Styela clava: one gene and its partner. The protein of the gene in region 1 binds, or shares a complex with, the protein of each later gene. Links are inferred from orthologs where the notes say so. Each region holds a gene or a part of one and is shown in the gene's direction. Other genes may lie near its edges.

Region 1 (3,762 bases):
AATATCTATCATTACACAATATGAGTCCACCATGAATATAATTTTCATTGAAGTGAATGCATGCACTTCCACATAATATACCAGAATATTGCTTACAATTTAACTCTGCCCATCATCTATTTTCAAAAAAAATGAACTGTAATCATGGAATTTTTTTAAAGAATTTGAAATACAGCCTATGGACACGAAAGCCAAATGAAATTTTTTACCCGCAAATCCCCAAAACAATATCCTGAACGAAGCTTGAACTATGGAACGGCTGCTGTGGGTCTAGTGCCACCAGTATTTCTAGTGTGAATGGTATAAAAATTTTTATATATCATTCCTGACCCTTACCTTATTACTTGACTATGTCATTCAAAAATTATGTCACTGTGACATCACAATCACATAATCAAGCTTGCCAAAATATAGCATCGATGGCCCGTAAGGATGTCTGTGACAATGAACTCACTGAAGCTGGCTATCTTTCTTGCGATTGTTGTTGTCGCAGTGATAGAATTTTTGGTTGACGTCAGGTGGGGGTCAGAAATATGCAAATATCGTTACGCTACACCCACTAAAACTACACCACACTACGGACACTAGACCCACTGTTGCCTTTCAGTCTTTCCAACGAAAATATGATTTTCTGATAACCTTAGATTTTATTAGTGTTTGACTACAGCCATTTCTTCTTTCTGAATAGTTCCTAATATGTGATCCTCAATTTTGATACATTGATTTTTTTCTGTGTATACTGTATATGAATCGTCTGAATCAAGTTCTGCTGGAAATTTCATATTGGTTCCTTACGTGTACTTGATAACCTTCACATTCTAATATTTTCAAATCATACATTAGATTTAAATAAAATTACAACAATATAAATCTGATTTCCAACATGAGTGAAGAGTTTCGAATTCATCATAATGTCAACCAACTCTTACAATTGTTGAAGTAAGTCTGTATTGATTATTTGTTTAAATTTTAATTTTGAACTTACTCTAACACAAGTGGTTGGCACATTATGATAAGCGTTAAGAACATGCTTGAAATTGCACCTCTGATTAGTCTGCATTAGTTCACAGGTCCTATGGAGTATAATTCAGTGTGATGGAATTGCTTGACTCTCCGCTGTCGTAAGTTGGTTCACATAAATAACTGCTGGTCGTTTATGACTTCTTCTGTAAAATCCATGCATATGGGACGAATAACTTGTATACTATTCTCTTATATGACATGGATTGGTAGCTGGATCAGAGATCGTGATTTGCCATATAATAATGCCATGCCATCTTATCAGAAAAATGATTTAATTTATAATCCATGGATTTTGTACAACATCATATTAAAATCTTAGAATGGAACATTGGAAATTCACCATTATAAATCTACTGTGTTTTGTAATTTGAGAATATCTTGTGTCTAAAAAGAGTAATAAGAAGATATATATTCATGCTTTATGAAATCATGGTGTTACGGTTGAAAATTATTTTTAAACTATCTTTCATATTAAATGTTTAATCATCATTCAGAGTCGACAAAGGGAAGGCTGAAGAACACACTGAAACTCTTCTGAAAAGTCGAACACCTTTTGTCACAACACAAGTATGTATTACTCATGGTGTTGAAGTATATTCTGATAATTATAATCTGTTCTAATCATTTAAGAGAATAATAACTTTTATTGAAGGTGAACACTCATAGTTCTGCTGTCAAAATTTGTGAGAAAGCTTCCAAACCCAAGGAATTCTTGCAAAAGTATGAAGAACTGAAGTCCAAAAAGTATGCTAATAAACACTTTTTCGTTTCAAAATTTGTATATTATAACGCCGTTGTGTTTGACTAGCGGCCATTGAAATATTAACATTTGGCGATAAATGTGGTGTAGAATAGGTCTAGGCAAATTTAAAAACCTTTAGTTTCTTAACCCTTTTACCACATACTGGTATTTCCAAATGGAAATTTCCAGATTTTTCACTCCTACCTTATGGTCAAAATATAATAATTCAATTGCAATATGATTATTAATGCAACAGTTTGTTCGTAATGATGTAGATTTTCAAAATAAACCAGTCGGAGAATACACTGTGTAATGTCTGACCTTTGACCACCAGCCCCATCACTTCGTGACTTAAACCCATTTATGTTTCGGTAAAATTAACTCCGAGCAACTTTGTATGTTGCGCAAAATCGTCACCTATGCTAGCTGCTTATGCAGCTGTTGCCTATGGCAGTACAAGATTTAAAATGACAAAGTTTTTTGTTTTCATGTTTGAGTTTATTTTCAAAAATCTATTTCGTTCAGTGTTCGCAACTTGGATTCTATGATACATTTTCTATCAAACCTGAATAACAAACCAAGTTTGCATGCCACCTTGACAAAAAATGCCGAGGAGAGAGGAGAAGCTGCTAAAATGATTCCTATTTCTCCATCTTCAATCCTTGGTACATCAAATATTACTCTTCCACCATCTGGATCAAAATTAACCCCAAAAGAAATATCTGAGGTGAAATTTATTTTGGAAATTCCAATGTTGGTATTTGATTTTGAATATAACAGAATAGGGGTGAATAAATATTCACATTCACAAAACATAATATCTACTATTGTAGAATTAAATGTATTGGGTCTAAATGTATTGGGTCTCAGTTGTTTTGTGTGACCGAAAAAAAGCTTCGATAGTTTCCAAATTTATCATAATTTCCTGCCATTTTCTAGTCAACTATGTCGAATATCAAAATTCCAAGAACCCTACCCTCCGCGGACTAAAATACATTTTCATCTCGTTAGTCCATGAACTTGAAAAGCCAGAATTATAGTGAACAATGAACATGTGTTAATTATTAGCTACAGCTTATCGTTTGCACAAAAATACCGGCCAGACACACAGGACACAGCGCTCATAATTAACCCTAATTATTCTGAATTATTCAAAAATCAAGAATTTAAAATATTGAATACAATTATTTTGAATCTGTTAAAATATTCGTTTAGTAGTTTCGAACATCCTTGACTCAGAACTTCAATTAGATATGGTGTGATAAAAAATACACGAATGCGAATATTTTCCAATTTATTTTAATTCAAATAAAATTAGGCAAAATTGGAATCATATTTTTTCTTCAGGAAGTTGAATTGGTATATATTAATTAAATTGCCAATAAATTACTGTAAATTTGCTACATTGCACCTTTTTTCATTGAAATTTGAAACCATGATTTTATGACAAATCATACGGAGATACTGAGTTGAATAATTCATTCATAGTATTAGAAATTGTATCAATTATAAGGGTTGATTCTAAATACCTATGAATACAATCCTTTTTATTAATTTTTCTTAAACTAAATATATCATATCCTATATCTCAAAACTGACATAACATGTTTGGGTGCTGGGAAAATTTCTTCTGCAGAAATATTCACCCATGAAAAATATTTCATCTAGACAAATTTCAGCCCTAATCCTCACCTACATAAGGAGAAATTTGCCTTGATAAAATTTTCCGACGCCAAATTTTGTTTCTACAGTTGCGAAGTACTCTAGAAAAAGCCACGGGACCATCATCTGCATTGGGTTTGATTCCTTCAGCAGAGTCATTCAGGAAAACACTGCGTGAACAGCACAACGCCAGAAGACCTCGTCAACATCCTATTCCATCATCACCATACTGGCTTGCTGGTGATAATAGCAGAAAATATTTAACTGCTGATTTTGTATATGACTCAAGCACTCAACATCCAGTGAGTTTCAATCTTCAAAGTTTTATTGTATTA
Region 2 (3,762 bases), on another chromosome or scaffold:
CTTGTGATTCTTGTTTATTTTTGAGCTCTGTACAACGACCCCGATAAGAGAGAGGTCGCTGACGTATTGAGTTTGTTGACATACTCGTAGGCGCCATTACGGGTGACCGTCGCTATACTTTGGCAAGCTGTATTTCGTTATTGTGACGTCGCAGTGACGTAATTTTTGGATGACGTCATCAGGTAGGGGTCAGGAATCATATATCCAAAAATTGTTACGCCACGCCCACTAGAAGTTATTCAGGTAAGAAAGTACATGAGACCCTATACCGGTACTCGTTTTTGGAGGACCCATTAAACTCAAACTGTTAAAATGAAATATACAAATAAAGCTAATTCAGTAATTATTAGAAGAAAGGTTCATTTTTTGCAAACTAGCCTAAAATGCCAGAACGTCTGCATGTTTTGTTGTGCACAAGCAGACAAGTTTGTATGTTGATCCTTCAGGTCTGCATGTCAATGTATTATGATAATGCTCACACTAGTTCTTAAAATGTTCAAACTTCACCTGCAGTTTTCTGGTATTATAGCAACTTTCTTGAATTACTTCACACGGTGGACTTAAAAAATATATATTACTGTAGTCTATTATCTATCTATCTTTACAGATATACGGTATATAGGCTATTATCATAAAGACATATATTCTGTCAAAAATGAGTTCTCAATTATCTGATGTTGGTATTTTCTCACAAATAATTTTGTCAGTCGACTGGCTTGAAGAAACTACACTTCTCAGTATATTATTGACAATATACTGCATTTGCATCCTACTGACTATTATCACTTGGAAAAGAATCACAATCATGTGTCTGTATTTTCTAATACTTTGCATTGCAATATATTTTGCTGAATGGATTAACAAAAGTGCCGCAAGAAACTGGAAATGGGTGTCTCCAAATCATCAATTTTTTGATTCTTCTGGATTATTTATATCAGCTGTTTATTCTCTTCCGTTACTAATTAATCTAATTATTTTATTAGTTCGAATGTTGACTTTAACAGCTTCTGAAATGATAATGGTCAAACAAATGAAATTGAAAAGTTCAGCTAAAGCATTGCAGAAAAAAGATTCATGAAATTATTGCTATTGTTTTTAGTTATCAATAATGCAATTTGTTATGAAATCCAGCTTAGTGATGTAGTGTCTGACAATCCATTGCTAAAAGTTTTTATAACTGTTTTAGTCTTTTATTTTTCATGAGCCATTTTCACAATTTCAATCTAAAGTCATTGTGCAGGCAGCCACTGCTGTGCAAGAAGCTACGATATTTTAGTAATAGTTACCTAATTTAATTAACCCTGGGTGTTGTGTATGGCACTGGTTTAACGTCTTTCAATTGTGACACCAATTTAGTCCAATCTCTAAAACTTTAGCCACAACCCCAACATGGGGGTAAATATTGAAATATAGTTACTTGAAGCTATAAGGACATCAATAGTTGGTCGAAAACCACCATGCTTTGTAAATTATTCGCACATGTTTACATTTTCAGTCAACTTGGTATTGTTTACTGCGAGTTTTCACACTACCAGTCACTGAGGGAATAGCATCTGCATTCAAGGTTGGCAAGGCAGAAATATGCTGTACTATTAGATATACATCACGTCACACATAGAAGAATTTAAACGCTCTTTTAATATGATTGATTACTATTTTATTCATCTATAATATTAATAGAGGGAACTTTGTATTTCAAAGCATTGATTTTTTAGTACTTCATAAAATATGTTGCACGACCTGATATTTGCATTGCAAGGATATCCTGGAAGTATTTTTAAAGAAACATCAAATGGTATTGTTAGAGTTGTTCCCGGCCTTCCATTCCTATCACCATCAGAAGAATCATCGTTAAATAGACTTCTCAAGCTTTCAACAAAAATTATATTTTTTCAAAAGTTCATTGACACTCACAATTCAACTTTATATGCAGAAGGAGCAGAAAAACATTCTGATGGATTGTTGCATGGATGTTACCTGCAAGCATTGTGTTATGGGCTTGAAGATGTATTAGAATCTTATTATCAGTCCGTTTTAGACATAGAAAAAGAAATACTCGCGGATCCTCTATTAACATTTATGCATGTGTACCATTCGCTAGAACATTATTATTTGCTTTTCGATGCGTTGTATGACTTGATATCTATCGTAAAATCAAGAAAAAGTCATGGTTGTCAGATTCTAAGTACCGTTCATCATGCATCACAAACAGGCAATCGTGTTGTGCTGCGAGCAATGCTAAGAATACAGAAACGGTTGCATTTAGTCATGTATCGACAACTTTCATCATGGTTGCTGCATGGTCTTCTTATTGACAGACACAAAGAATTTTTCATTTCCAAATCTGAAGAGAAAGGACCCAATGACTCTGTTAGCGTGTTCCAGGATACTTTCTCATCCTCTACTCTTGGATCTCAATTGGAAATCTTTTATATTCGAGCAGACATGCTTCCGACATATTTACCCTCTCGTGATGCTGATGTCATTCTTTTTATTGGCTCATCATTGCATCTTTTTGAGAAAGACCTACACAAACAACAAGCACTTCATGTTGGAGGCTCTAGCATGGCAGTTGCATTGAAGGGACTTTCTGCTGATGTTGAGGGAAAGCGCATGGACGGGATTCTCAAAGAAAATCAGCAAGAATTCATGAGGGATTTTCTGTGGTTGCAAAATCAAGATAGATTCTCTTTAGAGGAGTTTGAATCCAGGTTGAATAAAATTCGATCCACTGTAGCAAGAGAACTTTGGGATTTGTGTGTTGTTAAAGCAAAACTAGTGTCTCATTTTATGATGCTAAAAGACTATTACTTGCTTGGACTTGGAGAATTATATCTGGTATTTTTAGAAGAATCTGCGATAGTAATGAGAAAACCCCCAACAAAAACTACGGAGCACGATGTTAACCAGGCATTCTTGAGATCTGCCATCAAAGTACAACTTGAAGAAGATGGTGCGTTACAAAACTTCAAATTAGTTATAGAATCAAAATCTTCTAAAGAATCTGAACAATCTTCTGGTTACACATATGATGCATCAGGAATAATGGATTCTAACGATACATGGTCTTTATTGAGTATCACATTCCAAGTTAAATGGCCATTGCATATCATCTTCACACCACCTGTACTTTCAAAATATAACAAGCTGTTTAAATTCTTGTTGAGGGTTCGTAGAGCCCAACTTGCTTTACAGAATTTGTGGGCACTTCAAATGCAAGAGAAATGTTCACTTATATGTACTGATGATGATGATGCTTCTATCAAACAAAACATTTCTAATCTGACTTTAAGAATGCATATGAGTCATCTGGTTGACAGTTTGCAGTACTATTTACAGGTAATGTATTTTACAGTTGAATCTCTCTGATCTATCTCTGAATCTCTCCGATCTGAATAGCATCAAAATTAAACAGGATCGAATGCAACCGGTTATCTGGGTTTTTGCCATGAATATATAGAGAATTTATCGATACCATTTGTATTGAAGAAAGTAAAAATACTTGCTGATAAAAAACAACAAACCTGGTTAAGATATATTGAGAACTGACTTCATAACAAAATTGTAAAGGGATGCCCTGTATATCTAGGCAATATAGCACCACTTTGGCATCCCACAGCTGAATGTGCATTTGTATAATTCAAATGCTTGCCTTTGGTGTTTCTTTATTGAAGCTTTTTGAATTACTGTATAGTGCAGAAGTTGAATATATAATGAATTAATGCTTTTGTTCAGGCGGATGTATTGGAATCTCATTTTTCT

What was found. Proteins that work in one complex are often made in the same cells at the same time.
Region 2: gamma-tubulin complex component 2-like (region 1) and gamma-tubulin complex component 4-like share a complex: the UniProt entries of both Homo sapiens proteins name them as parts of the gamma-tubulin ring complex. The link is inferred for Styela clava from reciprocal best matches to the Homo sapiens genes TUBGCP2 and TUBGCP4.

Annotation. Positions count from the first base shown.
Region 1 is NC_135255.1:3,626,824-3,630,585, reverse strand, and holds the start of gamma-tubulin complex component 2-like, read left to right. Parts: upstream 1-827; 5' UTR 828-883; coding exon 884-939; intron 940-1,517; coding exon 1,518-1,590; intron 1,591-1,675; coding exon 1,676-1,767; intron 1,768-2,290; coding exon 2,291-2,492; intron 2,493-3,516; coding exon 3,517-3,729; intron 3,730-3,762. UniProt on the Homo sapiens protein: Component of the gamma-tubulin ring complex (gTuRC) which mediates microtubule nucleation.
Region 2 is NC_135257.1:8,687,254-8,691,015, reverse strand, and holds the start of gamma-tubulin complex component 4-like, read left to right. Parts: upstream 1-1,075; 5' UTR 1,076-1,728; coding exon 1,729-3,339; intron 3,340-3,735; coding exon 3,736-3,762. UniProt on the Homo sapiens protein: Component of the gamma-tubulin ring complex (gTuRC) which mediates microtubule nucleation.